3 linked regions of the Drosophila melanogaster genome follow. The protein of the gene in region 3 interacts with the protein of the main gene of each other region in a pairwise test. Each region holds a gene or a part of one and is shown on either strand. Other genes may lie near its edges. The genes, in order: CNT2, mew and CG9628.

Region 1 (10,646 bases), on a different chromosome or scaffold from region 3:
AATCCAGAAAGTCAAACTTAGAAAATGCAATTTTTGATCACTCAATAATCCAACTATGCAAATTTTATTATTAACAAAATAATAACAATAGTTATTGCAAAAAAAAATGATTTTTTTATAACACAGCTTGAGCTTTCAAATATTAAAATGCCTATTATTAATTTTTAAAACCTCATTAATTGTCTTGACTTCGCCATAAGGCCATCTCAGCAAAATGTAAATGTTGTACATAACGAGTTATGTAAATTTTAAATGCGGCTTAAACTTGCACTCCCGAACATTTTGCTGACCCAACATAAAATTGTTTTCGATCCATTTTTAAATGGCCTAGAACTGCCGACTGAGAAAACCCAATCTGTTTGCCATCCTCAGAGCGCAAGAAGCGCACCTGCAACACCGCCATGCTGAGCAGCTCCTCCACCGGCTGGGTGGAGATCGACGTGAAGTGCGCCCTCGCCTACTGGGAGCAGCAGCACCGCCAGCAGCTTCGCCAGCAGCAGCCGCTGCAGCCCCAGCTGACCGCCAGCGTGGTGGGCATCCTGATGATCGAGGTGCACGACGATGAGGAGAATCTGCTGAGGCCGGGGCTCTACTTCGCGCCACCCACTTGCGACCAGGCAGGTAAGCGTGTTGTTTGCCATGTTCAACTAACCGCCCGGGAACGGAGTGGAGGTATCTCGTCCTCCCCATCAGTCACTTTATCCATCATCTCTCACTCTCCACATACATACAAATCTCTTATCCCAACCGAATCGGTGGCGACAGGCCCCTTTTGACACCTTTAGCACACGGCAATCAGAATTTATTTACATTCGCGAAAAGGTCATTAGTCAGGCAACTTCGGGGGCCGGCCAGCAGCCAGACGTAAATTGAGCTGGCAAAAAAACGTACTTTCAATGTAATTCCAGACTGCGAATATCGGTAGACGTAACACAAAAATACCTAGTCGTCTGATTCTGCCGTCAGCAGAATCTAAGTGTCAATTTACAATTCATACCCCGCACGTTTTCCATTCGAAATGCTTCCGTCCGTATATTTGAAATCCATTGGATTGGGTTGGGTTGGCTCCAAGTGGAGCGGAAGTAACGAAAGCCCGAATATCTGTTTTGGATTGACTCATGTCTTGAAAGTTATTGCCCTGGATCGGTAAGATACAACATCGCAGAAGCAGATTCAGCTCAAGGTGCTACTAATCAAAATTGCTCATTCGCACCGTTGTGCGCTGCGCTCGGCTTTCTTTGTCGTTCAGTTGTTGTGTTTTTTGCTCCGCTTACTTCTTGCCGTTGGTTTGTTTTTGATGCTTATTGCATGCCCTTCATGTGCGCATTTTTCAATTTGCATTGCATGACCTACGGCATATTGTACTCCGATTTTAATGGTCCCTTTGGAATCACGTTTATTTCAGACATTGCTGTCCCATGGAGCGTTTACCGAACAGAACCGTTTAAGTCTCATCTGGCGAGTTGGACATTGCCAAGGTAAGTGTTGTATTCGAATTCATTTAAATTTGGGTTTCCATTTCAAAGTTTTGCGCCATACACTGCTTGCTCGCGTATCGATCGTTGTACTGCTTGCCAACTGCTTTGTACAAACGATCGCTGCGTAACACTAATAAGTGTGTGACCGTACTTGAACAAGAACCACCGTTTGAAATAAAATTTCCCGCCAATATTCGAACTTCTGTTATACTTTTTAAAAACGAAAAATTTAAGGTATTAAAATTCAATTCATTTCCTTTTTATTTAAAAATCGTTTTGAAAGGTGATCGAAATCTAATCTAGCCAGCAGTATTAAGAATTAGGAGTGTATATTTAAAAAATTTGAAATATATTAATTATAACTATAGTTAAAATGAAATCTCGCCAAGCAAATTATTTGTTAACTATACCATATTTTTTACAGAAAACCAAGGCTAGACATCTTCTTCAACGGTAGCAACTCCATGAAGAACAGCTACAACACCCCCAAGAGCAGAGCGTTTATCGAATCCACCACATCCAACTCACCCACGATCGACAACCAGCTGGACGAGAGCGGCGAGTACGAGAGCCAGCAGCGTGTGCATGCCCCCCTGGTCCACCACCGGCGGCACCACCACAACCACCAGCAACCGGAATCGGAGTCCGAGTCCGCACAACTCGAGGCCGAGATCGAGGCGGAGGAGCTGATGTCCTCGGCGAGCAACAGTGAACAGCAAATGGAGCCGATTTCGAACCACCACCGACATCGGACCGGCCACCATCACCCGCATCACCAGCTGCACCAGCACCATCACCATCATCATCGCCACACCAAGCACCACAGGATTCCAGCCCACAAGCAGGAATAGATGCCACAATCACGCGCCCATCGATTCCCCACTTTCTCTCCCCCGAACTCATGCTGGTCTTAAAATAATGTCTTGTTTTATATTTGTAACTTTAGGGCCAGTTGACTTAATTAGTTTTTAGTTCATCGGTTTGCCAACCGCGTAACCTTATTTAAATTATATTTTAAGTTTCGTTGTAAGCAGTGCCCATTTTCGGTCAAAATTTGATTTTATTTTTAAATCTCCTGTACTCTAGAAGCCTGTGATTTAGATGGGGTTGAAGTCGCACATTTTTGCAACAAAAATTGTCAAAGCCTCAAGAGGAAGGCAAGCCCGGAAAACAATTTATACGAATTTAAGTAATATATTTAGATGCTAAACAAAATTAATCAATGCCTTATCGAAGCATTACAATCCCTAACTTCTGCACAATTCCCTCGAAAACCAGCAAGCCAAGAACGAACCAAATCAAGCATTTTCGATTCTATTGATAAGTGATTAAAGTCCCGCAATATAGTTGTGTTACATCATAAATAAGTCACTAGGTTTAAAGTGCCTTTCTGCTAAATCTCAAAATTCCCCATTGGAACCCATTGACCCTTTGGTTTTAAGATTTTAAGAACCACATGTTCATCCAGTCAAAGCACATTGTATCCCTAATCCTTCATATCCATACCTACTAAGTGCATTTGCAAGTCGATAAATGAAATATAAAGATGAATATGATCTATTAATAAATTTAAATCGCACGAACACGTGTAGAGTTGCGAATCAAATATAAAGCCAGTTGACTACAGACTTTCTTGTATTATACCCCTTTTGGATCAGATTATCACACGAGGGGCTCGACGATAAGATACGATGCTCTTTCCTATTAAATCGCACAGAATTACGATTGGCAACCTCCTTTAACTTTGCACCCTTCGATTGGCCAATCAGTTGTGTCATTCTGCTAATCGCCGACCACCAATAGAAGTCTTTATCAATGGGCGGGTGTACGACTCGGTATCGCGGTAGCCTTCCTCTATCGCAATATAGCTATCAGATTCCTCAAACGTCATCGCTATCGCATTCAATCTGCTGAGGGGTTTATGGCCCTTCTGAAAATTATCTGGCACTAATATCGGCCTAGAACGCATGCCGAGAACATCTCATTGTTAACAGCCAGCTGATAAAACAGGCAACATGTCATCTCAATTGCCTATTTAGCGGTACACTGCCATCGCAAGTGTATTAGGATGCACAGGGAAAAATAAGTATAAAGAACTTAAAAAGATTATCAATCGAACCTACTTGAAAATAGGGCAATTGATCATCATTAACTTAATATTAGACTGATATATCTCAATAAATATTATTTATAATATCTTCAAAGAAATTTTTTTTTATTAAAATAAGAAAAGTATAAGATGATTGAAACCAATGTGGATTCTAATATTATCTGCCTGTTTTCAAATGTTATTAAATTATTATTTTTATTTTATATTATAATTTTTTAATTGATATTAAATTGATCTTTTTCATCAGTGATCCATTTTGCGGCATTGCACTTTAAGTTAAAACTCAATTTGTAAAAATTGAGTTGGTACAATCAAGCTAATATTTATTTAATAATTATTTCACTGTGTAGTTAAACCAAATTAACACCTTACCAATCGGTATCACACAGTATTAGCTGGGTACTCAAGTACCCATTGATTGCTATGATGAAATAAAAAGCCTCATTAAATATTAAAATCGAGAAATTACAAATTTCTTACGAGCTTTAATGTTAATTTGAGGTAAGCTTTGCTCTCAACTTATATTTCTGTAAATCAAAAAGGCCAAATGGTATCAAGACACCATAAATTATTAGATAGAAAAAAGGCAGTGCGAATCCTAAACCTGATACCTTCTTATCAGATACCGTGTAGTAGCGATTGTATTAAAAAGGCCCGTTCGGAGCAAACCGAATTTAGTCTTGCCGCGAGTTTCAACGAGCTACAATGGCAGTTAGCCAACGTTTTTAGTCTGGCTAAACAGATGCATTTATCAGTCATTTGTATTCGGGCAGACAATAACGACGTTAAAAACCCGTTTCGGCCATAACAAACCTATAGTACTCATCAGATACGAAGCAAAACAAACAGTAAAAAGGTGAATTAACTGTCGTTCCAAAAATTCAAGGTGCGATCATTATATAGACTTAAAATACAAACTGAATACTCGTATAAAAAACGTGTTTTTGAATGTGAACTCTGTATGATTTTAGTCAATTTTGTAGAAAAAACAATAATCGGCAAAAAACACGTGTTCTCGAGGCTGAATATACATATAACCATGTTCTCAGAGCTGGTCTATTAAATATAAGTGCTTTATTAACTTTCACGAGTTTGGCTAAATGCCACTCTGATAGTGCTATCAACTCTGTTTCGATTACCCAGAATGGAAAATCCTAACCGAAAGACCACCTAACGAGGAACTATACTATATTGAATGGGATTTACAGCCCGAATTTATCAGGAATGAGAATTGAAGTGGATTATTTATAGCCTGTGCTGTAGTTTACAGCCCAGTCCCGTTGTTGGCCTCTTAAGTTAATGCCCGGAAATTATTTGAGTGGCCATCCACGTGCTGGAGTTTAGTCATTGACTCTGAAAAACTAAGTGCCCAATTCAAAAATCCTGGCCCATGTGCAAATTTTAAAATTGGAATCCGCGGATCCTATCGCTTGCTTTTGAGTGGCATGAATCGTTCAAATTGCCAAACTTTGATTCAGATAGCTAACACACACCTATCTTGTGCTGTGCGACACTTGGCATATATGCCCACTCGAGTCGAGGGCTAAAATAATTTGAAAGAGATAATGCCAGATTATGATTGCGGCAAATTACTTGTCGCTGGGTATTAATACCACATACTCGTAGTTTTTCTCTAAGTATATTAGTTTCGTTTAGGGTATATAAGATATATATAGAATATATATAGAAAGAATTTGACCCTATAAATAGTATATTCTTCATAAGGATCCGTCAGTTGTCCGTCCGTCCGTCCGCATGAAGTTCGATATAGAACTCTAGGCAACTTTAGGCATGCAAGTTTGTTTTAAGCCGTTGCCACGCCCACCGATATCGCTAAAGTCTGCCCACATGCTTAACGTCTAAATAATGTTGTGATAGGCTTATCAAAAATAGGACTCGTTCAAATTGGACCATTAGAAAGGTATTAAGAGTAAGCTGAAAGCTTATTAACAAAATATAGCAAGTAAATTTGCTGCCAAAGCAACAACTCGCTTTGTTGTACCGGGTATATAATAGTCGATACACTTAACTTAAACGTTCTCTCTTGTTTTTTGTTATAGATGTCAGCCGAATCATCAAAAGGAGCTATTAACAATGGCTACGAACTGGATCATGTAGGTTTTTAATTAAAAAAGCTTTGTAAACCAGATTAAATATTATAAAATGTCATAGAAGGAGTTGGACATCCGTGACTCGGAAGAATTCACGGAACATCCACTGGATGACACCAGCGAGGTGGCAAATAAAAAGGGATATTTTGAAAAGAATCCAAAAGTAGCGCGACTGGTGAGGATCTCGATTTATGTACTGCTGCATCTGTGTGTTGTGGGGTACTTCTCATATGCAACCTACCACTATCACGACATAAGTAAGTATATCGCCAAAATAATTAGCAAGAAGTATACCATTATTTATCTACAGCCAACTATGAGTGCTATTGGAAAGACAACCCATTGTGCGGCATCAACTTCTGCACGGGCTATGGAATGCTCCTGCTCCTCCTGGGATTCATCTATTTGGGTCTATTCTACTACTATGTCTTTAAGCCGATGGTGGGGCACAGCCTGCACAGGAACTATATCAAACCATTTTCAAAGAAATGGCACAACTTCAGCAGAACCAGGTAAACTATTATGAAGAAAATATATGTTTAAATCTTCTAACTACTCCTCTTCGTTTTCCCAGAGTTGTGTCATTGGCCAGCATCGCATTGCTCCTGGCCCTTTTGGCCATCTTTGTGTACTTCGAGTGCCGGGACGAGACCCAAAAACTGGTGTCCCTGGTGGCACCCTGCTTCTTCATCCTGTGCGGCTACGTTTTCTCCACGAATCGAAGAGCCATTAATTGGCGCATAGTCATCACGGGAATCACGTGCCAGTTTCTGCTCGGCATTTTCTGCATCCGCTGGGAGGTGGGACGAAAAATCTTCGAGTGCTTGGGCAACAAGGTGGCCACGTTTCTGGGCTATGCCACCGATGGAGCCGAGTTCGTGTTCGGCGACTTCCTGGTGAACAACAATGTGTTCGCCTTCGCCATCCTGCCGGTTATCTTCTTCTTCAGCTTCTTCATCTCCATCCTGTACTACATGGGTACAATGCAGTGGGTGGTGATCAAACTGGGCTGGATCCTGCAGCAGATTCTGGGCACCACTGTTTGCGAAAGCGTGACGGCCGCAGCCAACATCTTCCTTGGCATGTCCGAGAGCCCGCTGCTCATTCGGCCGTATATCAACAAGCTGACCAAGAGCGAAATCCACAGCATCATGGTGTCCGGATTTGCGACCGTGTCCGGAACCGTGTTGGCGGCCTACTTGTCATTCGGTGCATCGGCCGCGCACTTGATCACCTCCTCGGTGATGGCAGCTCCCGCTACTCTGGCCATCTCTAAGCTTTACATGCCCGAAACGGAGGAGAGCCAGACCTCATCCGATTCAATTGAACTGGAAAAATCGTACGTATTTCTAAGGCGCCTAGTTTAACCCAAATGTCTAACTAGTTCACTGTCATCCTTGTAGACAGGACTCTTCGCTGCTGGACGCAGCGTCCAGTGGTGCCAGCAACGCCGTGCCCATTGTTCTGGGCATTATCGCTAACATAGTCGCCTTCGTCGCCTTCATCGCCTTCCTAAATGGTCTGGTCAGTTGGTTTGGTTACCTGGTGGGTCTCGAGCAAATCGACTTCGAGTGGATATTCTCTAAGCTGTTCATCCCGCTGGTCTGGGCCATGGGGGTGCCAAAAGAGGATTGCGATATCATCGCCAAGGTGGTGGCCACCAAAACCATTATCAATGAGTTTGTGGCCTATGAGCGTCTGGGTCAATACATCGAAAATAATGATATCACTGTAAGTTGTAGATGGTGTGAAACCCATAGCTCATCTGGAAACTAACGTTTGAGGTCGATTTTTGTAGGCCCGCAGCGCTGGAATCGCCACATTCGCCATCTGCGGCTTTGCCAATCCCAGTTCCCTGGGCATCCTTATCGGATCCCTCAGTGCTATGGCACCACATCGTCGCTCCACCATTACAGCAGTGGCTTTCCGAGCGTTTGTGGTGGGCAGCATAGTCTGTTTCGTATCCGCCAGCTTTGCAGGTCAGTCGATAAACGATCATAAATATTTCTTATTATTTTAACTAGTTTTACTTTATTATAGGCATCCTTATACAAGAAGATGACGAGCGGGCGAACTACAACAGGATATTCGAGAAGTTGGGTCGAAAGAATGTTACTCAGTTTTAGTTCCTTAAAGTTGTAGTTCGTGATAATTAGCTGATCAAATTTAGCAAAATACAATTCTTATTTATTAAAGATGTTTAGGATTATTTTTACCTATTTGTTTACTAAGGGGCTGTGGGATATAAGTCATAAGATCCACACAACACTTCTTTACACTACACACTGTTTCTCATTTATACACACAATGGCAGAACCAATAGAAGGCGAACAGGAGGAAAAGCCTCCGCCATCGAGGGCAAAGCGAATCACCTATCTGGTACTCCATGTGCTGCTCCATATCATATTCATATCTTACTTTACGGCAGCCACAATCATTTTCATCTTTTACGGTAAGTTACCCCTTTGAGTTCGAATGTAAATGTTTATGAGGAAAAACCCAGACAAGGATTCCAAAGAATGCTGGCCCAATAGGGGCTCGGAAGCCACAACCGAATCGATAGATAACTCAACCGAAGATGATGATGATGATGATTATGACACAGAAGAAACTTCTGAGAAGCCAGTGCCAGAGGTTAAGCCAAAACTATTGTGCCAAATTAACTGGTGTCATGGATACGGGTTTCTCATCGTCTTGTTCATCTTGTTTTATATCCTATGGCTGTACTACTGGGTATTTAAGCCATTCGTGGGCATCAAGCTGTATAATAACTACCTGGAACCAGTGATTGACAAATGGATTGCGTTTAGTCGCCAGTGGTGAGTACAAGATCCTTTGAGATGATCTCCCTTCAGACTTGAACAGCAGTACCATAAGTCAAAAAATTGTAGATGTTCAGGACCTGTAAAGATTATCCATTCGAATACAATATATATATATTGGTTAAGAACTTTAGCTCCTGTCCACAATGTATTTGAGGCTCCAAAAGATTCTTCTAAAAAGCTAAATGCTTTAATCCTTATTTTCCATTTTCTCCAATTCTAGGATAGTGTCCGGCGTAATGCTGGCGATTGTGCTCGCTGTGGTGGTGGCATACCTCGGATTCGAGTGCCGCAATGACGCATACAAGGCCATCGGACTGCTCGGACCTGTGTGCTTTGTCCTTATCGGATTCGCCGTGTCCAAGCACCACTTGCAAGTACCTTGGCGCATAGTGACCCACGGTCTCCTGGGACAGCTGCTGCTGGGCATACTCTGCCTGCGCCTCCCCTTTGGCCGGTCCATCTTTCAATGCCTTGGGGACAAGGTGACGATATTTCTGAACTACGCACAGCACGGAGCACGCTTTGTGTACGGGGATCGCATTTGCGATGAGTACGTCTTTGCATTTGCCATACTGGCGGTGGTGTTCTTCTTCAGCGTGATCACCAGCATTATGTATTACCTTGGCTGGATGCAGTTCATCCTGAACGGTTTTGGGTTCCTCTTGCAGGCCATGGTGGGCACCACCGTTTGCGAAAGTGTAAATGCAGCGGGCAACGTGTTTCTAAGCATGACCGAGAGCCCTCTGGTCATCCGGCCGTACATCGAAATACTGACCGTCAGCGAGTTGCACGCTATATGCACCTCCGGCTACGCGACAGTGGCCGGTACTGTCTTGGGGGCTTATGTGTCCTTCGGTGCTTCCGCCAGCTTTCTTATCGCAGCCAGCGTAATGGCTGCTCCGGGTTCACTGGCTTTCGCCAAACTGTTCTACCCCGAGACCGAGGAATCTCTGACCAGGTCCGACAACATTAAGCTGGAAAGCTCGTAAGTTCCTCTTCATAAGAGTCAACATTTGATAATCGCCCAGACACCTTGCCAAGGACGGATACGTCTATTTTGGATGCGGCCGCCTCGGGAGCTGCAGCAGCCTTGTTGATTGTGCTCGGAATCGTCTCGAATATCATCGCCTTCCTAGCCATTGTGTTCTTCCTAGACGCTGTAACGGAGTGGATTTTCGAGCTAATTGGACTGCATAACATCACCCTACTCTACATTCTCTCCCAGATCTTTATCCCGATTGTCTTCGTGATGGGCGTGCCGTGGCACGATTGTCAAGCAATTGGCCTGGTGGTGGCCCAAAAGTCGTTCATAAACGAGTTTGTGGCTTATAGAAACCTGGGCATATTGGTTAGCGATAAAAAGGTTGATGTGAGTACCCATCTGCATATTCTATTCTTATAGATTATTTTAAAACTAGTATTCTTATAGCCGCGGAGCGCTGCCATAGCCACTTTTGCCCTTTGTGGGTTTGCCAATCCCGGATCCCTGGGCATTGTCATCGCTTCGCTGAGTGCAATGGCACCATCCCGACGATCAGACATCACCAGGGTAGCCTTTCGATCCTATTTCGCAGGCAGTTTCGTTAGCTTTACATCCGCTTCGCTTGCAGGTAAACTGTCTTTATTTACACGTTATTTTTAACCGCCTTATCGCACAACATCTTAATTAGGGATTCTTATTCAAAATGAGTACACAGGTGGTAATTAATTGATTTAGGTAAGTGAGCGATACGAAAAGCATAGAGCAGGGAGCTAGGGTACAATTCCACTCAAATTGGCCATTACCTTCTTGAGCAATTCCCAGTCGGCAGCATCGAAATTCGCGGTGCACTGGGTCAGTTGAAGAGAAGCCTCATATATATTACGAAGGATTTCTTTAGGCGCCAATTCACTCCGTCGACGTTTTAGACTAGAGACCGGACATTTATGATCTCCATGGCGAATGTAGCTTGATTTACTGAGATCAAATGAACCGTCGACAACAGTTCCGGGTTCGACATGCAATGCCTTAAACAATGGGTATATTGCATGGCGGGCACTAAATGCTCTTAGTTGGGCGTCATCGCTGACTTTGCAGGAGTCGAGGAATTTCTCGCGATACCAGTTTGTGCATCCAGCATTT
Region 2 (9,344 bases), on a different chromosome or scaffold from region 3:
TTTCTTTTGCCAAGTTTAATAACTAACGACTCGTATTTGCATGATTTTTTTTTTTAATAATAATAATTAAATTTATAAAGCAAGCGGTTGATTTTTTAAATTGGTAGAGTGCTCGAGAGCTCTTTAATATAAAAGTTGTATATGTATAAATATTAATAAATTCTCGCCGGGCTTTTACTAACAAAAAATGTAATCATTTAATTTTTTAAGATTTTCCGGTAAGAGAAGTCTTAAATTGCTACCGCATTTATACCAGAAAATTCGTGGTCCACAATAATCGATTTATCGATAATATCCGACTGAACGAAAATTCAAATCTAGTGTGCGAGGAAATTTAGAGACGAAAGTTTACGTATTTAAGCGTCCAGTAGTCATTGAGTTAAGTGTAGCTACCTGATTCGGATAATTAAGTACTTTTACTTTTTTGGGAGCACAACAAAATTTTGTTCTCGTTCTTACTTTTACACAGCAAAATTTTATAATTTTTTAAAATTTTTCTGCCGGGCTGTTCGACGAAGCAAAATCAATTTACCAGTACTACGACGGTGAGTGACGATGCCAATCGCTAACTTTCTGTACACACGTATGTTACCATTCCGAGAAAGTTTCTAGATAACAAACACGGCCATTGCAGCTTACTTGTATAATAAAACACATTTCTAACACGCTTTTTACACGACAAACCGCGGTTCGATGTCAAAAGTTCGATGCAATAAGATCGACCACTGCTTGCTGGGCGCAGTTCGCGGCATTAAGCCGCCCTATCGCTCGGTGCGTAATGCCCAAGACGGCGTGATTAGCACCTTCCTGGACAAGTACAGTAGGCCCAATTATTTTGCCATCCGCTTGGTGATACCCGCCGAGTTGCCACCCATCGATCTGGCCGAAATACTTATGGACATGCTAAAGATGCAAATATTGCGCCGCAAGAATTGTATCGCGTCGTCCAATTGGGTCAGGATGAAATATATATGTCAATACGGCAGCAAAGCCGATGAGACGTTCATCATGCATGACAGTGCCATGAGAAAACTGCAGCAGGCCATTGAAGAGCTCACCAATCTGCTCGATCAACTGAAGCTGGCGTATGAGCCCGTTTCCTATGGACGGATAGCCGTGCAGGCTCAACAGTTGGATAAGCGGGCCCAGATATGGCAGAATTTGCTCAACGGCCGCAATGAGCAGTTGGAGCGCCGTTTAGCTCGGGACATTTCACTCCCATATCCTCCTGCAATAGATGCCCGCATGCGCATTTCGAAAAGTTATCAAGTTATCAACCATATGCGCACTTGGCGTTTCGGCTAAGGTCAGCAAATTAGAATTTGGTCGAATTTGTTTGTATATCAATATGGTCACTAAAGATGCTGCTGTGATATTTTACCTTGCTTTTGGATATATATACATTTCTTTGGATAGCATCTACCTGGACTGAGACGTTCTACTGTCATAGTGATTCTGATGTCGTATGACTTCTATATTAACTTTAAATTAATCGAGTGCAACGCATGTCGAGATTAATAAATAACATATCAACAACAAAACACAAACTTTGACTTACCTCCGCGCTGCCCGAATTGCAAACAAAGAGAATGATGTTATCCAGCCCTCTAGTGTAGTGGAACTGCTTGTGCGTCTGCTTGCTATATGTTTGACCACTGCTTGCACAGCGCACATGTATGTTCGAACCATGTTCGAACCATGTTCGATGGTAGCTCAGTAGCTTAGTGTAGCTCTTCTGTGCGAAGCATTTTATTTTTCGTTTGCCCGTCGAAGAAGGCGAAGCGAAGAGAAAATATCTGCCGCTTCGAACGCACGCTATCAATGTCTAATTCTTTACGTAATAATCATTTTTTTTTTTGCTGTGTGACTGAAACGAAGAAATATACGAGCAAAAGTGAAAAATACGTGGACTACCTGTTGATCCAAAGATCTCAACGGATTTAGTGTGTGTGTGTGTGTGTGCGTGCGTGTTTTTTTTCGGTTCATTGTTTTGTTTGCAATAGTGCAAAGGAAAAAGTAATCACTTTGCCGTGTTCGGTGCACGTGCACGAAATATTTATAAAATATATATTAAAAAAAAAAAACATAAAATTAACGATGTTGGAGCTACCGTTTACCACCATACGGCCCAACTGCCGGCTAAGACAGAATCTTGGTATTCTGATAATCCTGCAATGCGTTCTCACTTGCTACAATTTCAACCTAGAACAGCGATTGCCCATTGTGAAGTACGGACATCCGCATTCGCATTTCGGCTACTCGGTGGCCACCCACACTATTGGCGAGGCCAATGGGCCCAACAAGACCAACTGGTAAGTGGATAGTTAAGTGGATAGATAAGTATCTGAAAGATGCGTCCAAAGTATGCGAACTTCCAAAGTGAATCATTATCTGCAGTTCATTTAAACGCTTAGGCATATTTTTATTTTTCAACAATCAATTTTAAACTTGCATCCAAAAGATTTATTCGAAAAGTGTCTTGTTGTCTCAGCTGTGTTTTTTTTCTTTAGAAAAATGTTAGGTAAACAATAATGCTGAAGAACAGGTAGAGAAGAATCCAAATCCAAATTCGTGTCCGAATCGGAAATTCGCGCCAAGAATCTTGTTGGTGCGCAAACAGGTTTTTATATTCGCCAAATCGATTTCAGCTTAATTGACTGGCATTGATTGTTATTAATCAGCAGCACACGAACAATAACAACAACAACAACAAATAATAAAATAATAATAATAATAAGAAGAATTTGCATTGCAATCGCTGTGTTTGTTGCTGTTGTTCAGGGGGGGGGGGGGGGCTATCAAAGTTTGCTAATGCGCGAAACTTGTTTGAAATCGTGTTTTTATTGTTGAATTACCATAAATTGTTTGAATATCGAGTATTTCCAGAGATGATGCCAGGTTTTAGATGTTTTTCGAATCGAAACAAACCATAATAAACTGAATGCATATGCCAAATGCAATGACAGCAGATAAGTGTTAAATATTATATTTGTTTGTTTCTCTTTTTTTTTTTTCGAATTGCTATTTGAAGAATTTCAACAGTTTAAACGATTTGTCATCCTTACTATCTGAGAATTTGCCTGTTTGATATTTTATGGTTTTGATTGTTTATTTTTGTGCAACTGATAAGCATAGTTGGTCGAAGAACAGACGAATTGTTTTAATGTTTCCCCCGACATGGGTTAAACCCTTGAACTATTGCGACTGAAGCGGATGTGGATTTATTTGCATTTGTCATAGATTCTTTTTGGCGAGGGCTTGGTGCTCATTAAATGTCTCGTATTGGCGACTTTATAAGTTGGCCAACTCCTTTTCGCATTCTCTATATACAATACAAGCAATACATAGATAGATAGATAGATAGATACATTGGCCAAACCAAACTCGGTAGACAAAACGGAGCCAGACGGCCAGTGGCCATAAAAATGGGCAGACAACAAATCTGGAATCAATACAAGCTGCGACTTGGATGCGCCAATTTGCAGCGAAAAAAACTGAGTTGCTAACATTTTAATACATTTAATACAACTGAACTGGCAATCGAGTTATTCCCGCCACATGGTGTGGTTTCTTAACCATGTATTGTGGTAAAAAAAAAGAAATTGTGCCATTCGCGGCATGCCCCATCGCTATCACTCGGTGCGTAATGCCTACGTAGGCGTGAAAAAGTCATGTTCCCCTTCTCTCTCTCTTGCCAAGTAGTGCCCTCTCCTTCGGTCACCCGAATAAGGGAAAGGGATATTATTATTATACTTATCATATATATGTTTATATATATCATTTATCGGCCGACGAGTCTAAGTGTACCAGCCTGAGTCATTTGGGTTAAGTAACGAAATGTCACGTATTGAAAGTCCAACTGAAAATCAATAGACCTTCAAAAAAAAAAAAATAATAAAAATAAATTTGCAAATGAGATGCATGATAAACTTTGAGCTTTAACTTCAATGTAATGGTGATATTATATGGTGGTGACCCCGTTTGGCAAGAAGTGGTGACCCACGCTGTTTCTTAAATCTGCATCGCGTCTTTAAATGACGCACTTGAAATCGGAAGAAGCTGTAATCCAAACGGAAATTGCTGTTTTTTTTCGCATCGAAGGCTAGTCCGATAACTGCAGTGAATTGCACAGTTAACTTGAATTTCCAGCTCGTTTATTGCGCGCCTTTTGTTTTTCAGTTTTGTTTGCACTTTGCGATTGTCGCATATTTGTTTTATTAATGAAAAAAAAGGTACGTATGCAAATAATGTGACTCGCTTATCGCTGGCCCATCTTAATTTTTTTTTTGTACCAGCCATATATACCAGCGGTTACGTGGCGCAATTATTACCTTTGATGATATGGTACAAATTGAGATAAGCCGCTGAGGATGGTCGATTAAGCTATACAATTGTTTTCGTACCCTTGCCGTGGCATTTACAGCGCCATAAAAAATGTGTATATATGTAGGCGACTTTTTTTAATTAGCACCTTCAATCAATCGGCATTAAATAATGATTGGCTTTGTTAATGAACTACAATTTCATTGCGCTGAATACTCAATATATTGCAGATTGAAAATGGTATGAAAATGCTAGCACGATTTTAACTCGCTTGCATGTAAATAAATCTCTGAGATTCGGTGTATCTCGTAGATGTTGTATCTCATGTGGGATACTTCTTCTGCATCGCGAACAGCTCACTGGTTGTGTTTATGCCGACAACATGTGTTCCTTGTTTGCGCCAAAAAATATAGAAGAGAACAAAAACTAAGAAAGAACTTAAAAAACTTTTCGGCGAAATGAGGTCAACAGACGCCAAACAGTCGCAAGAAAGGAAAGGTTGGGGGGAATGGTGGTGGTTGGTTGGTTGGGTGGTTGGGTGCTCAATGGGGTGGGCTATCCACTGGGGGCTGGTCGACAGTTTATGGTTATTGTTGTTGCTCTTTTACTCGCTGCTGGTGCGTGTGTCTCCCGCCAAATAGTTGAATAGTTAACCCAGGCCCAGCAACACAAAAAAAAAATAAATAAAATAATAAGAAAAATATGGGAACCCAACCCAAAAGTCCATTTCTCATCTACCCGCGCACCCAGCACCCCCTTTTCCACCATTTTCCTATTTTTTCCACTCGTAAGCAAATGAAGCCAAAAACGCGAAAACGAAAAGCGACAAGGAAATGGCCAAAAAACACTTGCTAAGGCAATGTAAGCTGGCAGACATGTGTGTATGCCATAAATATGCGCACTGGCACCCACAGTGAAGGTCACAAAAATGCATGGAATTTAGTTAAATATTATTTAATATATGTAAACTACAAATAATGTATTACATGCCAAGAAAGTTATTTGAAATATTATTTTTAAAATAATTTAAACTACAAATGTAAGCTAGAAATGTATTTGAAAAAATGAATGATTTTACTTTAATTTCGATCAGCTGCTTACTATTTTTATGACCGCTGGTGTTCATATAGATTCTCTGTAGGGATCTTTGGGCATTAAGTGCGGACTTTTCGACTTTTCTAAGGCGGCCGAAGCAAAAAAAAAAAAAAAAGGAAGAGATGGGGGTGCGACTTCTGGCAGCCAAGATCCATGAGAAAAGTTCACTTGTTCATTTTTGCCAACAGTGAACACTTACAGTAAGACAAAATTGTTTTAAGATCCTAGTTTTAATATACAGCATGTGTGATATAAGAAGCATTAAGAGCACTTAAGGAAAATTGCTTAGATATTTATCTATCTATCTGTAAACTTTTGTCATACTGAGTGCCCACTGTGGAAGTGAAGCCGCCTGCTCAATGGAACGTTGAGCGGGCCATAAACATGCGTGAAAATTCAATTGATTTTCCGGGGAGCAGAAGGCGGCATAGTTGGCATGCGTATTTATAGAAAATAGAGGAACAGCCTAATGCTGCACACGAAAATAAGAAAATAACAAAATAAAAAATTGCCTATTTTGGTGTGGGAAACAAGAGGCTGGCCTATTCGGATTCGCATCGGAAAACCGATCTGGCAACTGGGATTGCGAATGGGATTGCGATTTTGCCTGGGCAGCCGCCAGCTGTCGAGTGGCGAGATACAAGACGGCGCAGATATTCAGATACTCCGAGAGACTTGCAACATAATTTCTGCCAGCAACTAATGAGACCCCAGGCTCCGAAAGTGTTGCCACAGCCTCAACTCCATGGAGCTGCGCAAAAAAAAGCGCGTGGGCTTTGATTTATTGCCAATTGGATGGCAGTCGCACAGCAGAATCGCGCTGAAGAGCTGCGAAGATTTGGGGCGGAGAGCCGCCGCTTTCTGGCCCCACTCGAAATCCCAAATCCGAATCAAAATCAAAGAGGAAAAAAATAAAAAACAAAATCCCATGGCCGCGTGGGTTAAACACGAAGTTGCAAAAACGAAAAAAAAAAAAAATCAGAAAAACGCTCACGATGATTTTGCGCATAGAAATCAAAGAGCCCACGCCTCGGGCTCTTTAAAGTGAAGAGAAGAATCGGCCCACTAGAAGAACTGGGCACTGAAGATGCTAGCGACCTCCGAAGAATCGCGTCCCTAAGCGAACGATAAATCAATAAGCTCCGAAAATGTGGCAACCGCTTCCACTCTGCCACCGCTCGAAACTCCGACAAATTGCCCACTGGGCTGGGCAACCGCAATCTCTTAATGACGGAGGATGGGCCAAAGATCAGTGGGCTTCGGCAGAGGATCAGCGAAATCCAAGCGACAAAACAAAAAAAAAAAAAGGAGCGACAAATGTTGGGTACTACACAAATGCAGGCTTTAAGAAGAACACTTCTTCAGTTCCCAGGAAGCATCTTCAGAAGAGAAGTATTATACCATATATATGTATGTATATTATATATATGCATATACATATATTATGTTAGAAGAGTAAAGAACATAAGATCCAATATTATCTGGATCATTGGAATGCTCGAGATGAGTTCAATTAGATAACTGGGTTGTCAATTTAAGTGTTTGCATATAACTAACTAGAGTATGCGAAAGCCAGACCTCGACCGAGACGAGGTGGGAACCGCAGATCCGAGATCAGATCCCAATGCCCGATCATCGCATGGCACTAACCCCATTGGTATCGCAGTCACATGGGTGAGATTTATGGAGCAAATACCGTGGTTACCCCTTTTATTTGGCCACGGATCCCTCGCTGCTTTCTGTTTGCACCGCGAGAATTGTGCGAATGAAACTCGTTACCACTGGGGGAGAAGAGAAAAGGAGATAGAGAAAGAGAGACAGAGAGAGGGAAAGACATAACACGGCAAAACAGGCCAGACAAAGCCGCAGATGGATCGAACCATTGCCAATAACCGTACCTGCCCCAGTCAACAAACTACACTGAAGAAAATGCTCTAGTAGTGAGAATATTTGCATATGTGTTACTTGCATTTGATTTGCATATTTGTTGGATTGGCAATTGAGTATTCAAGACCCAAAGGTTGAGTTTGAAACCAATCACAATCCCCTTGCTTGATCTTTTTCTCCAGTGCATTGGCAGTAAGCTGAGACTTTGTTGGAATCGCTCTCCATCTCCGCCACATAGAGCTCCTCTGCGGCACTACGCCCCTGTTAACCTTCCCGTCCACCTCAATCCGGTCCAAGTGGCTTCTGCCCGCTTCTTCTCTTGGCGGATCTGCGATCGTGTTGCTAGCTGTTGCTTGTTTCTAATGAAAACTGACGCCGTTCGGTTTCTTTTTCCCAACTCCAGTTGCTTTTTTTTTTTCGTATGTTTTTTTTTTTACGGTTTTGCTGGTTTTTTCGGGGGGTCTTTGCGTGCTGAGAGATCGGTTTTATTTTTCTCCGATTTTTTTCTGTTTCTTTCACGGTATTTTTTTTTTTTTTTTTTGGGGTATTTGGTTGTAACGATTTTGGCTGGCAGTTTGTTAAACATTTTGGGCCATTCGGGGTGAACCAAATGAAGATCGTATCGAGCCTTTGGGTTAGTTAGCATCTAAGAACGTTGAGTAGGAGAGAAAACCCCAAATGAAATTGATCACTTTTGGTGTTATGGCAACTCTACACGAGAGCGGCAACCTTCTTTCGCTGCAAACGGGGTCACCCTTGGCATTATTTGATCAGCTTAAACGTTTGAGCCACTCAAAGTGGTTAACATTTGCGGCTAAATGTTATTAATTTGTTGATGTTGCTTAATTGAGATTTTTCTTGAATCTGATATTATATGATCATTTTCTTACAAAAAGAAGATTGCTATTTTTCTGAAATAATTATATTTATGCATCAGATTTGACACAAAGAATCGATTATTTGTACCGTTCTAAATTATTTGATGTCTTTTCCATAGACTTTTCGAGTTCTTTGCGTCTTTTCACATTTTTCTTAGATTTTAATGGACTTTTTCTTCTCCTGAATTATTTCTCTCTTTTCTTTTGGACCAGGCATTTTCCTGCCTTGATTGCTAGCTGTTTGCTCTTGGCATTTCGAGACGAGGCGTTTGGCTTCGCGCAATTTGGTTGCAACTGTGCCGCGGAGTTTTTCACATTCCCTGCCACCTTTCGCCGCTTCGCTCGGCCCTTATTTTCACTTGGATTTTCCTCATTTTCCCGATATGCATCTTCATCTCTTCACCGGGTTCTTTTTCACATGCTGCTGCGAGATTTTCGTGGCTCGTTTATTTATTATGATTATTTATTTTGTTTTACTTAGTTTGCGGCTGCCTGCCACAGATGTTGGCAGTTCATCAGCTGAAAAAAAAGGGGCGGTGGTCGGCAGGGGGCGGGGCTGCCCACACACATATTGAAATACCGACATATACTTGCACATGGGCTGAGGATTGATTAGATTTGTTCGGTTGAAGATTTTCCTGCTCTTTGCTTTCGAGTTTTCTTCACATTGAAAAGTTCAACAAACGCTTGCCACGCCCACTGTCGCCCACTTTTGGGAAGTCTTTGTTTGTCTCCACCCGTAACACACCCCCCTCCCCCTTTTTCTGTTACAGAGAGCGAAAAGGCATCAAGTTTAAAAATGGTATTTTATAGTAATATTTTGAATTTTTCATAATTGTTTCATAAATCTTAGCATTCGCACTGCATAATATAGATTTTTTTCTAAATTTTCATACACTAGTTTCATATTTTTTTTTTGGCATTTTGTGCTGCAGCAACTCTGCGAATGCAAATCCTGCCGCAACTCGACTTGCCACGCCCACCCGCCTTCGAAAAGCTATGGCACGTGGGCGTTTTTTGGTGCCATGTTTGCTTGACGAATTTTGACTTCGACTTCGAGACATCGACTGCGCGAGTTCGGTTTCAGTTTTTTTTTTTTTTTTTTAGTTCGTTGCTGTAAAACCCAGCTGCAACTTTAGAGCGCAACACCCAGACTAATAG
Region 3 (12,333 bases):
GGAATCGTTATCGAACTTGAAGAAGGAAGGATCCGACTCCAGAGTTTTGCAAAAGGATACAAAACCAGAAACCAGAAACCATCAAAAAACAGATGTCAGCAAAAATGTGGTGCAGTGGCTCAATCCGTATTATAAACGAAAAATAGCCACCAAAGAGCTTTTCAAAGCTTTGGCAAAATTGCTCACTCAGCGCATTTGTGATGGAAGCTTAGGTAAGATATTCATACTTCCTGTCTGTTAATACCTTTAAAATGGACCATAAATCTCTAGGAGATGGCGATGCTGGAAAGTGCTATATAAAGGAAACTTTTCATGGCCTGCAGATGATAAACAACGATCAGGACATTGAAAAATATTTCATAAAATCCAAGTGACTAAAAATCTCCTAATGATTTTATCACGACATATTGTTTCGCCTCGTTAAAAGTTGCATCATCTTTTTTTTTCGTTAGTTACTATTTTTGTATATAATAAGCGCATTAATTATCAATAATACATTTAAATAAGACGTTTTTATTTGGACAGTTTTAATAGAAAAACTATTAATTTGGGATATTATTCGCTCGTACAAAATTTATTTGCGTTGAATCTTATTTATTAATTGAATTAGATATAACATTCGTGATGCTCGATGTATTAAGCTTATAAAAAAAACAAAACAGGGCAGCCGATTAAGAACTTTAAACCTCCTCGGACGTCGATTTTGTACATTTTCGATTCGATGATGGCAATTTGTTTTCTTGTGGGATTACAATTAGCTGGGAGACGGGTATGTGAACGGGGCTCTTACTTCTAAGCTGGAGCTATAAATATTACAGTCCACGCTAGGCGAGAATCGAATGTATATCTCTTTCTCGCCAAACTTCACGGGATCGACCATGTCATTCTAGATCACCGTGGACACCTAAACGCAGGGTGATGAGTATGTCCAGCAAGAAGACCAGCGAGGTAACCAAGGCAATCGAGGCGGAAGCCATCACGAGATCCAAACGATGCATATTCGGGTGCCAGTAGTTGCGATCCTTGGTGGTGGACCAATCCCGGAAAAGCAGGGCGGTTACGGCCACGAAGAGCACAAAGGCCACTAGATTCCACAAAGTAGCCGTACGCCATGGAGTCCTATGTGTACATTAAATATATCAGTACTAGCATTTTAATTAAATCAAACTTTAAGCATACAAATCACCGAAGAGCGCCATTATCAGATAGATTGCCGTGTAGATGGTCAGTGCTCCAAAGGTCACATAGCAAAGGGAAGCCACTCGGGGAGTGATGAACACCCGCAGATGAGAATTGGTGGCCGGCTCGTCGATCAGACCCAAACAGCATATAAGCAGGCACTATGGGAAACGACGAATAGTTTTCATAAATTATTTGTGTTTTTAATCATTTTTTTTAACAATTTAGGCATTACTGGGAAGCCGTCTCAAAATGCTGAATCTTTATAAAATGTAATTGGACACCATGAAACTAGTTTCTTATCTGATTTTTAAAAGTTATTCAAAAGATTTCCATTTAAAGGAGTATTTAAATTTAACAAAAACTCACCAGTTCCACAATCTTGATGCATATCACCGTGTAGGTGGCCTTTTTGTTTCCATGAGTTGTGGCAAAGGAATTATCGTCAGCCGGCGACATTTCGACGCGTGAGATTTCTGCACCGAGCAATTAAACAATTAATTAATTAAAGAACACTATACTATATCAATTGGTATTTTGGCCACTTTGACATTTGCTCGGAGCGAGGAAAGAATGACAATAAAACTTATTGTATATGTACCTATCGATCGCAAGTAGCTCATTTTGCAGAGTCTGATTTGGATACGTTTTCGACCTACAGAGGAAACGGAATCTTCAATTTTGGCTTTTTAGTGTTCAGTTAAAGTCGGGTTTAGTGGCCATTTTTGGCCTCCATGTCTGGGTTATCGGATATTTGTTATTGGATGGTCAGTGGAGCGTGCAAACGAGTAAAACCGAACAATCTACGTTCTGTTGTGGATTTGTGTCAATTGATGGCCGAAGGTCTTCCTCTCCCACATGAAATACATCCAGTTGCAGACCGAATTGATTAAGGGCACATTCTGCGATGATCTCATATATTGGGTGTGTGGGACTTTTGGGTGGGGTATATATCTATGTATCTATGAACATATGGGGCTATATTCGACAGCGAGGTGCCGAGATGCATACCAAATTCAACCTGGGAATGCGAGCAGCCTACGTGAGTTTGCATCAAAAAGTCGTATGAATAATAAATCCAACTATAATCGCTGTCTTGTGAACCGTCATCTATAATTCCATTATTTTCAATCATTAATTGCATACCGACAATGAAGCTACTGTCGCTCAATTGTCACCTCTTTTGGACACAATTCAACACCTGTTTTGATATATAGTTCTTTATTCTGATTCTACACTAAAAAATAAGTGTATCGAACCGGAAAGTAACCAATTTCTGTATATCAAGAGAGAATTTTTCCAAAAAAAAGTTTAAACGAATGCCACTCATAATTTAGAAGTTCTCTATTATTGGATTCTTTAATATCAAATATTTGCATACTATTGAAATTTACTTGGAATTCAGCTTAAATGATTTTCTGGGTTATCATAACCGGTAACTCGTTTTTGCCGTGTATAAAGTGGGGAATTGGATCTCCACTTCATGGGCAACAATGGTCCCCCCATTGATTGAAGCTAATTGCATCACATAAAGAACAAAGCATAAAATCCCAATATTAGCCAAAGGCACGTTCAGCAAAAGTGAAGGGGCGGACAAAGAGTAGGGAACTGTGCTAGTTAACCCCACGATGCGTAACCCCATAAACAACAATTAAAATGTGAGGGGGGGGCGGGGAACCAGAAAAAATAAGTCAAACTCGAAATGAAACTGGAAACTCAACACAAACCCTAAAAAAGGGCCACGCACAACTTTCACTGCGTTCGGGGAGGGGGAAAATGTGAAAGGGAGTGAGATGGGAAAGAGCTGTAGAGAAAAATGGAGGGAAAATGATAAAAATGGGCCCAAGACACTCCCTATTTACAAAACGAGGGCTCGGAGCTAATAAACATTTTAGTGTCTAGGTTCTGGTTGCAAAGGTAAACAGCAAATGGGTAAAGAAAACTACCACTATTGAAAGCAGTGGAATGTAGTTAGCTTTTTGTATTAATCTATTTGAATCCAAAGTGATAATTTCATATACTAACAGTAACTCTCCACATCAAACCAAATATATAAAAGTTTAGGTTTATATCAAAAAGTTTTAAACTTTAGTTGTTCACTTTATTGTAAAACAGAATTGTATATATAAACATATATAATAGATTTCTTTTAAGCCAATTCTCTACCCGTTAAATCTCCCCACTAATTTTCGAGTATGTGGCTCTCCAAGATGGGAATTTCAGTGAATAACTGCTTGCGTGTTGTTGCTAACGAGTGCTTCACGTTTTGGCCCACACTCGAACACCCCCCGCAGCACCCCTTTGAACCAAAAAAAATAAACAAGTTTTCTTTGGCGGCGCTTAGAAGAAAGCCCAAAAAGCAGAAACCAAACAAAACACACGCAACAAGCCACGAAGCTGAAAAAAAGGTAAACAAAACGTATTGGCTAAGAAAACTTGTTTTAGAAAAAAGAGCATTTGGCTTAAAGAGAGGATCTAAGAGTTCGACTACCTGCCACACCTGCGTATTTTAAAGGGGATATTTTCTCTCGAAAGGTAGGCATAATTTAGTGGCCAGCACTGTGAATTAACCTCGTTTCGCTTTCAGGCTCAAAAGGGACTGTTTCACACTAAGCAGCCCTATAACTGGTCTGAGTTTTGGGTCAATGACTCGATTCTCCGTTTTTGTTTTGGTTCTTCGATTCTATCCAAAGAATTTGTTTAAGCCATTCCCATCTTAACTTGGGTTTATATCTCTCATTTCCGGACAACCAGAGATCCAAAGAGCTACATCATCTGTACTATCTGTATTTCTCAGCTTTCAATCGCAGTCTTGGGCAATTGAAAAATGCAACAAAACTTGTTTGCTTACCGCCCCCTTTTTTGCCCCCCGCGCGTGTCTTAACCCTCACCCATCACTTGCATTGATATGCACAACTGCAAACTGGTTGCAGGCGAGAGCGACAGGGACGGACGATGGGGGAGTGAGAGGGCAGAACCACCTGAAACACAAATACATATATGCAAAAGGCGCCTACTGTACTTGGTCATCGCCATAGTTTTTACTGCCCGCGAAGGGCAGTTCGCGATTTTCCAGCTGCATTTTCCAAACACGGTCAATACCCATAGAGGGTATGTATATATTGTACCAAGAGGAATCATTTTCGCGTTTAACTTTTACATATAACCAATTATTTTTTTTTTAATTAAACTAAGATGTGTCCTCAATCAATCAGAAAGCGTTTAAAAAAAATCTATAATGTAAAATTTTGTATTTATTTTATTTTATGGTTTTAGAGAGTAATATCCTTACGTTTTGTTGACAATATTTTTGTTATCACTTTACTTAATACTGTTGTAAACAAAAAGTAATGGCAAGCCATAAATCTTATGAATGGGAATTTTGAAGCCTTACAACTTGAAAAGCAATGTTCATGGCGGCATTTTTGCAAATTATTTAGATATTCCTACAATATCTATTGCTACTGCACTTGCCTTTGACCCCATTGAGACCCACACCACGTTTGGTATGGGGAAACATTTGGTTTGGGGCTAAAACATGCAACATTTTGCGATGTGGGCTTACGAGGGTGGTTGGTGCTTGGGGGAGTTTTCTAGGCGACTCCCTTAGGGGTTGTTGGTAAATTCAATGCCAAAGCAATTGGCCAAGGCTCGTCGGGATTTACCATGAGTGTACTGGCGTTACTGTCACTGTTATTGTTTCGTGTCGGGCCTGTCATTGAAGGTCAGTGCCCATAAATGATATTGGTATTGAATCGAAAGGGTTCAGTTAGCAAAAGGGAACGTGTAATTGAGTGCTAATATAAACAACAACTGGGTTCAGAGTTTTTGCCATATTGTTTACATATTGACAGATTTTGAACTAACAGCGTTCAAATATTTAATGTGTTTTCAAGAACGGTAAAGAAATTAAAAAGCTCATTAACTTAATAACTGCTCGTAAGTGCTCCAAGAATTCGTATACTTTAGTTGAGCACTACCTAATTGTTTTTTTACGCCAACGTAAGATATCTGTTTTTTCGCTTTATAAACCCCAGTATTTGTCACCTAATTAAAGCTGCATCAAAGGGAAGGGGCCGCATTGATGGTGAGAAAATTGTCAGTGAGTCACATTAAACAAACTAATTTGTGTTAGCCAGTGTAGTGTTGTGTGTAGATTGTGCAAAATTAGCATGTCTAACAATAACAACAAACTACTGCGATCGTCTTGCTGATGTAGTTATTGTTGTATCTGTGCTTGTTTACTGTACAATTAGCTCTGGGTGGGGCCCTCCGATCTCACAGACTCCATTCGTATGAGAAGATCTTTGGGGGAGAATCAAAACTTCAACGGAAGCTGAACAAATTTTACGTTTTCTTGTTTAGTGCATTTTCAACTTGTTTAAACATTAGTAACTGCCGAGCAAACGACAAACTAGTTTTAGTTTTTACTCAGAATTTCATTTTTGGGTTATTATATTACATTTTTCAAATTTTCGTTGAGTTGCAGATAGGTGCGGTACACAAGTGCAGCCAAATGATTTGGGTTAGCTGTTAAGTTATATCTCACACTAAATACACAGATAAATCAATGAATTCTTTCACGCGCGTTAAATAGTTTCAGTAGTTCAGTTTAAACTGCGACTCAGAGCGGAAATTGGTTTTTTAAAAACCGTCTTTCAAAAAACCTCTGAAACCGACGACACGCCAACGACAACTGTTGTAACCTGAACCCAAAACCGAATCCAAAGCCCGCCAAACGAGCTATTGAGCCACAGCCCAAAAATAAGAGAATATTTCCCAATGAGAATTATTCCCAAGACGTGTGTCAACGCTTGCTGAACAAATATTAAGTCATATTATGGCGGCTTAAAAATTAGCACATGCACGCCATGTATGCAAACAATTTAATCTCGAGTTTTGTTTGAAACTTAAATGCTCTATTAAATTTTGAAGTAAAATTGTGTCGTTGGTTTAAAAAAAAACATTTTAAAAACAAAGCCCAGCTTAGTGGGAAGCGACTGTTGAAAGCTTTTATGAAATTTCCCTGCTATAATAGTAAAGACGTCAACCGAAACCTAAAATCGGTACCATACAAATTTAAAAAAAAAAATAAAGATATTTAGGGTCATTTAGTGTGTGTTTAGTATTTGCCAAAGAAAACAAAAATAACTACAATAAAACATAGGTCTAAATAAGTCTCACCATTGTATGATGAAAAATGCATTTTTAAAATAAAAAGGCGAGAAAGCTAACCTCCTGTGCTATAATGGGTCTCAGAAAATAACTATTAAATGAAACTCAATAATTTATATTATAACATTTATCATTTGATTTCTGTTTAATGTAATTAATTTTCTTTAATTATTGTTTTCTTTTAACAAATATATTCACAGATGTAGAGATGAAATAAAGACAAAGGCAGTAAAAACACTTGAATAAATACAATTAAAGTTAAACTGTACATAATTAGAGTGACAAATTTTTGCGAAACTATGTACAGAAAATATGTAAAACTGTTAAAATCGTGAAAAACAAAACTTAAACACAGTCTTTCCGTTTACAGAACTCTCAAAAACAATTGCTGCTAGTTATTTGCTACGACTAAAAATAAATTTAAGAAGTAATTACAACAAAACATGACGTTTGTATATACATTCTAATCTACTTTACATCCAGTCAGCATAAATTTGTTAATTTATTTTAATTGGTTTAGCTCTTTTTTGATTGCTTCACAGGACTAGGCTGCTGATGCTGGCTCATCAGGGATAAAGGATATACATATATATGTATACAGATATGTGTAGAAACCTAAGCATATTTTACATTAATTTTACTTAATGGTTCAGTTCTTAGCTATTTTAGTTGTATTTGATACAAAACGCCTGAGGGTAGGCACTGTTTTTCGGATCAGTTTTCTAAAGCACCCATTATCAGAAAACCCGATCGCTGAGTCTTAGACTGAGTGGAGTTTTGGGTGCCAGCAGGAACTCGAACTCCGTTTCCAGTGGCTTCACAAAGCTCACATCAAAGGCTAGGACCATCTGATAAAGATAAATTTGGTTGTTTTAGTCAGTGATCCTAGAAATACGATCCCTGGGGCTTATGGATTATACTCACCTTAGCTAGCAGCAGCACCACCTCCATTTCCACAAAACGCTTTCCTGGACACGATCTTCGACCCACGCCGAAGGGCACCACAATACTGGCATTATCCACGTTCACCGTGAAATTCTCCGTGGCAGGATCAATCCAACGCTCTGGGGTAAACTGCTTGGCCCCTTGGAAGTTGCTATCCTTGTGGCAGGCTATCATATTCTGACATAGCACCACAGTCTAAAGATCGGAAACAAATTATTGATAGGAGAAACTAATATTTATTTCCAAAAATAAAATATAAAATAGTAAATTCCAAAAGCTTGGAAATAAAAGTGAGAGTGATCGAAAACTAAGCTTTAACTTACCCCTGCATTAAGCGAGTAGCCCGAGAGCTCCATGTCCTCCTCCAGGATTCTGGCCAGGCAAAAGGCTGTGGGCCTCAGTCTGTAGGACTCCTGTATACAGGCCTTTGTGTATGTGGCATTCGTTAGTGCATCCTGCAGGATATTCGTGTCCCGATACTCGCAGAATTCACTTAGGATTCGTGGCATAGCACCGGGATCTCCAGTAACAGAACTCAGTACAAACAACAAAGTGTTGGCTAACTAAAAATTAAAAATTGTTTAACATGAATTCCATTTGAAATACTACCAAACACCCACCGTTTCTATGCCAGCGGCAATAAAGTCTATGATCGCTGACTTTTTGTCCCTGATATCCAGATCCTTGAGCTCCAGAATATTCAGAAAGATACTTCGTAATCCAGCAGCCTCGTCATCCTCGCAGGCAGCCGACTTTTTGAGTTCCTCCAGCTCATGATCGATGATCTCGGAGATCACACTGGATTGAGAGCGATTTAAGTTAGATGGGAATAGAAATGGGAGCCCAACCTTCTGTGTACCTACTCATAGATCAAGTCCTCGGCGCGGGCAAAGTCCCTGTACGTTTTGGTGGGAAAGTATTTCCACAGACCTAGACCGTAGTACGAGTCCCTTTGGGAGATGAAAAGCTGTTTAACAGCAGCTGCCAGTTGGCTGATCTTTTGCGGCTGCTTGGTATCGATAGCCAGGAAACCCATCCTTCTGCCCAACATTAAAGTGCACACAGCTTCCAGACCCATCAGATTGGCCAGCTCTTCGAAATTGGGAACCACCAGTGTATCCGGATCCCGCCTGGCTCGCAGTAGTTCGATAAAATCATCACAAACCGCATTCAAGGCTGGCAGGAAATTCTGCAGGACCCTGGGAGAAGTAATGCTGGAGGTCAGGGAAGATCGTAGGCGCTGCCACATTGGTCCTTGCTCGTTCACAATTCCAACACTTGCATAGCGATCCGGTCGGGATTGACGGTACATCACGATGATCTCAGTGGGAGGTCGGAATGGGTATTTGCTGGGGTACTTCAGCACCTTCTCCAGATCATCGCGATTGTACAGGTGCACTATTGGCACATTGGAGGGCATCACCTCCAGCACTATGTCGCCATATTGTCTGTTCAAATCTAGAATGTACATTTAAGATAATAGAAATAGATTATTAAAATACTTGAGTTACTAACTCAGAACTACAATAATAGAATTTATATTAAGTTATAGAGCTAAGAAATAAAACCCATTTTCAAGACGTATTTTTAATAGAGAACTTTGAAAGGGAGAGATTTTAATAACTATCTTAACTAAATAATGTCTTACCCGCATATACCTCGTGCAGCTTGGTCATCTTGTACCGTCGAAAGAAGAGCAGGAATATCCACTTAGTGCCCAGGAAGGGAATCCTCTTTGGCCCGGGTATGTCCCAGATGCCGCGCCTCCGCCTCTTTGGCGCCTCGGGCTGGATCAGCTCGGCATGGTAGAAGTCCTCAAGGAGCGTGTTCTTCAGGAGCGGCCGGAGGTAGATATCCGCCAATTTGTGCCGATGGAGAGCGCAGTAGCAGCCAAGTACGAGTGCCAGGGCCAGCAACAGTATCACGGCCATTACCATGGGGCGCTGCAATTAGAATTCTGGGTCTTACTGTGTTGATCCGCTTTGGAGGCACTTATGCTAATTCCCGCCAGCAATTCTAGGTCTTTAATTGAAGTCTGGCCTTTCGTTTCGAATCGATGCCAACCGGTCGACTAATTTGTATTTGACTTTATACAGCTTTTTTGGTCACAACAACTGATCATCGATTTTGCATTATTATTGGCAACACGCGATAACACTTTGTTCTCGGTTCTTGGTTCTTGGGTTTTTGGCTATTCTGCAAGGCAAATGGCTGGCAGAAAAGAAACAAGCTTTTTGGGTTTTCACACTAGATAAGATAATGTCCCAACAAGCGTGATAAAGTTCAAGGTTAATAGCCAAAAAAAAAAATATGTGTAACGATTGTGTTGCGAATTTCAAAAGATTGCAAAAGCCTCTAATTGTGATGTTTATTGGGGATTATAAATGTTTATAAAGTCAACAAATTCCGCAAGACCAAGTCAATTATTCTATGCACGATTAAATAGGCACACAAAGAGCCATTAAAATAGAGTGCGTTAAGGTCTTTTTTCTTCTCTGCCGTTAAATTAAAATTTAAAATTTAATTAATCTAAAATGGAAATTAATCTTGTTTTAAAATCAAAAGTAGACAAATGCCTAACCTACCCTATAAAATTGTTGAGTGTTCAGCTAGTTATATCAGAAATGCGAGATGATAATCTTTTGAGGGTCTGCCAGACAATGAACACTAAGTGGAGAGGAGAGGATTTATTTTTCTTATTGGTCTTTTTTAGGTGGAGTTTTTTCCTTGTTCTTATAAGACCATTCCGTCGAAACCTTTTTTCTATTCCTATTGCCAACCGGATATAAAATACTATATAAATAAGATGAAAATCGATTAAAACTTCAAGGGGGCTACCTGCTCAAAGTGATTAATGAACTACCCGGTTAAATACAAGAAACAAAATCAGAAACCACGGATAGATGATCGATTCTAATATTTGCCCTAGCCACACAACAGAACAGCCACACGATCGCTTGGCAAATAAATGCGGAGTACGAATAGAAAACCTCTCTATGACTTTGGGCTACCGAAAAATGGTATTTGCAAAAGAATCAGAATGCCAGATAAGAAGTCTTCGGTCCCAGGTAAGTAATGTCTTTATCTACGTGACGCCACTCGCTTAGAAATGTGCGTGATACTCGGCGGGAGAGGTGTGGCAAATCTATCCATTAATGCAAATTTGCGATTCGCCAATAGGCCTGTGCAAATGTAGAAAAAAATGGACAGAAAGAAGAAAATAAACTGGAAATACAAATCACAGACATCTGAGGCGAGCACTTCCTTCTTGGGGGCTTAATCACTTCCTCATCTCATCATGAGATCGCTTCTCAGCGCGACGCGTGCGCTGTTCTATGCGCTTCTCACTTTTCCAACGTGCTTAGAACAACAAAAACACAAACTCGCTTTTTAATAAGAATTCTTGCGAATTCTCCTCTGCACCGGCCCCATTCTACGGCTCACTCTCTGATTAATATGCAGATGGGATCCACTCACGACTCACAACTCCACCTCGTTCTCATCGTTAGAGTTGCGTTAGAAGCAGCCAAGAGGTATATATGGGAGGGAGCTAAAGCAGCTGGCTAAAACCGGCTTGGAAACCAGCTCCCAACTCCAGGCCAAAAGAAGGAGAAGAAAGCACCCAGCGGTGGGTAGAAAGCATATTATGTAACCGATTATTATGTAAAACAAGAAACGATGGGAAAGTTCTTTCTCGTGGTTTTGTTTTCTTCGTCGCTCTGTTTTGATCTTGGAATTTCACAATTTCTGGCCGTCATTTCTACAGCTCAACTAATTGGGTTAAGACGCAAATAAAAATTTCGATTTTTTTTTCGATTCTTTCTTATTGACTATTTTGTTCTACAGCCATTAACGATTTTTGTTTACCCCAACAAAAATGTAATAAAAGAAATCGAAGTTTATGGGTTCGGGAATGACTCGGCTTAATGGTTATTTAAGTATTTATTTTGGAAGGTGTACGAAGAGAGGTTTTGGACCAGAAATCTATACTTAACAAAGAGTACTTTAAAAGTTACGTATTTCCGAAATGCATGACTTTGCTGGTATGTGTAAAATTATGATTTTATTACTTATTCAATAAAGAATTGATAAGAAACATTTACTGCTTCAATATACATTTTTATATTCTTTTATTTTGGTTTGAATATTTGGCTTTAGTTGTTAGGTACATTTTTAAAATATCACAGCGATTCTTTCACTTTTCTTTTGGCAAACCAGCTTTCAAAGCGTTTCTAACATGAGACGGTTTTCTTCGGGTTCTGGGACGGAAAGCAAGTTTCGATAGTGGCTTAGACCAGGATCTCTGCAAAGTGGCAAAACGGCAAAAATCTAATGAGAAAATTTCTCTATTTCTATTTGCAAGGCTTACTTTGTCGCTCGCCGTTTGCACGTCGTCTTCCGTACGTTGAACTTGCCTAAAGCCAAAGTCGAGATAATGGATACACAGAAAATAATTTCCAAAAATAATAATCAAAAATTTCAAAACCATTTTATTTTTTTGTAGTAAAGAAATACATGAGCATAGTTTATTTGGGAATAAGCATATCGAAATTAACATTATTTTGATATATATTTAAAGATTATTTTACTTAAAATATAAAAATACATTTTTGCATGTTCTTGTAGCCACGAGTTTTTTCGGCCAATGAAGGAGGTAGGAAACAGCTGACCGAGGAAAGAAATTGTTAAGCCATGTTTCCCGTTTGTCGGTGGTGGCCGTGACCATGAAGCCCCGGCCGATATCTGGTCGTGTGCACTCTATATATGTGTATATAGCTATATGGCCATACGAATGTGAGTGGCACAAGTGACATAATCTGCTGATGTCTGGCTCTGCGGATAGCGAGCCGTTTGAGCTGAGCTCGGGTCTTCTGTAACTGCGCAGCGGTCCAAGCTTTGGGCCATTTTTCGGCGGGTTCTTGATTCCGAGCGATTTGCATAAATGTGAAAAATGTGCCAATAAAAATAGCCACGAATAAATAACGAATAAAGAATCAATCGACATATATAGAAGTATGTAAATTCTGACGAAAA

What was found.
Region 1: the proteins of CG9628 (region 3) and CNT2 interact in a two-hybrid assay, tested with the Drosophila melanogaster proteins (one large-scale study listed by BioGRID).
Region 2: the proteins of CG9628 (region 3) and mew interact in a two-hybrid assay, tested with the Drosophila melanogaster proteins (one large-scale study listed by BioGRID).

What each region holds. Positions count from the first base shown.
Region 1 is NT_033778.4:9,074,468-9,085,113, forward strand, and holds CNT2 (concentrative nucleoside transporter 2), read left to right. Parts: upstream 1-4,253; 5' UTR 4,254-4,444; exon of another isoform or gene 4,445-4,474; intron 4,475-5,648; coding exon 5,649-5,702; intron 5,703-5,760; coding exon 5,761-5,956; intron 5,957-6,009; coding exon 6,010-6,211; intron 6,212-6,273; coding exon 6,274-7,038; intron 7,039-7,102; coding exon 7,103-7,430; intron 7,431-7,497; coding exon 7,498-7,678; intron 7,679-7,739; coding exon 7,740-7,825; 3' UTR 7,826-7,907; downstream 7,908-10,646. Other genes in the region: ana (anachronism), read left to right, coding at 373-621, 1,406-1,478, 1,903-2,329; CNT1 (concentrative nucleoside transporter 1), read left to right, coding at 8,007-8,151, 8,203-8,518, 8,745-9,509, 9,566-9,893, 9,954-10,134, 10,195-10,232; CG13742 (uncharacterized protein), read right to left, coding at 10,277-10,646.
Region 2 is NC_004354.4:13,249,585-13,258,928, reverse strand, and holds the start of mew (multiple edematous wings), read left to right. Parts: upstream 1-1,745; 5' UTR 1,746-2,097; coding exon 2,098-2,312; intron 2,313-9,344. Other genes in the region: CG15742 (uncharacterized protein), read left to right, coding at 694-1,305. UniProt on the Drosophila melanogaster protein: Integrin alpha-PS1/beta-PS is a receptor for laminin.
Region 3 is NT_037436.4:14,616,342-14,628,674, reverse strand, and holds CG9628 (uncharacterized protein), read right to left. Parts: upstream 5,880-12,333; 5' UTR 5,768-5,879; exon of another isoform or gene 5,642-5,767; intron 1,835-5,641; 5' UTR 1,803-1,834; coding exon 1,781-1,802; intron 1,656-1,780; coding exon 1,549-1,655; intron 1,341-1,548; coding exon 1,180-1,340; intron 1,120-1,179; coding exon 882-1,119; 3' UTR 501-881; downstream 1-500. Other genes in the region: RecQ5 helicase, read left to right, coding at 1-212, 271-374; shd (shade), read right to left, coding at 7,092-7,202, 7,279-7,494, 7,623-7,862, 7,920-8,097, 8,163-8,757, 8,948-9,230.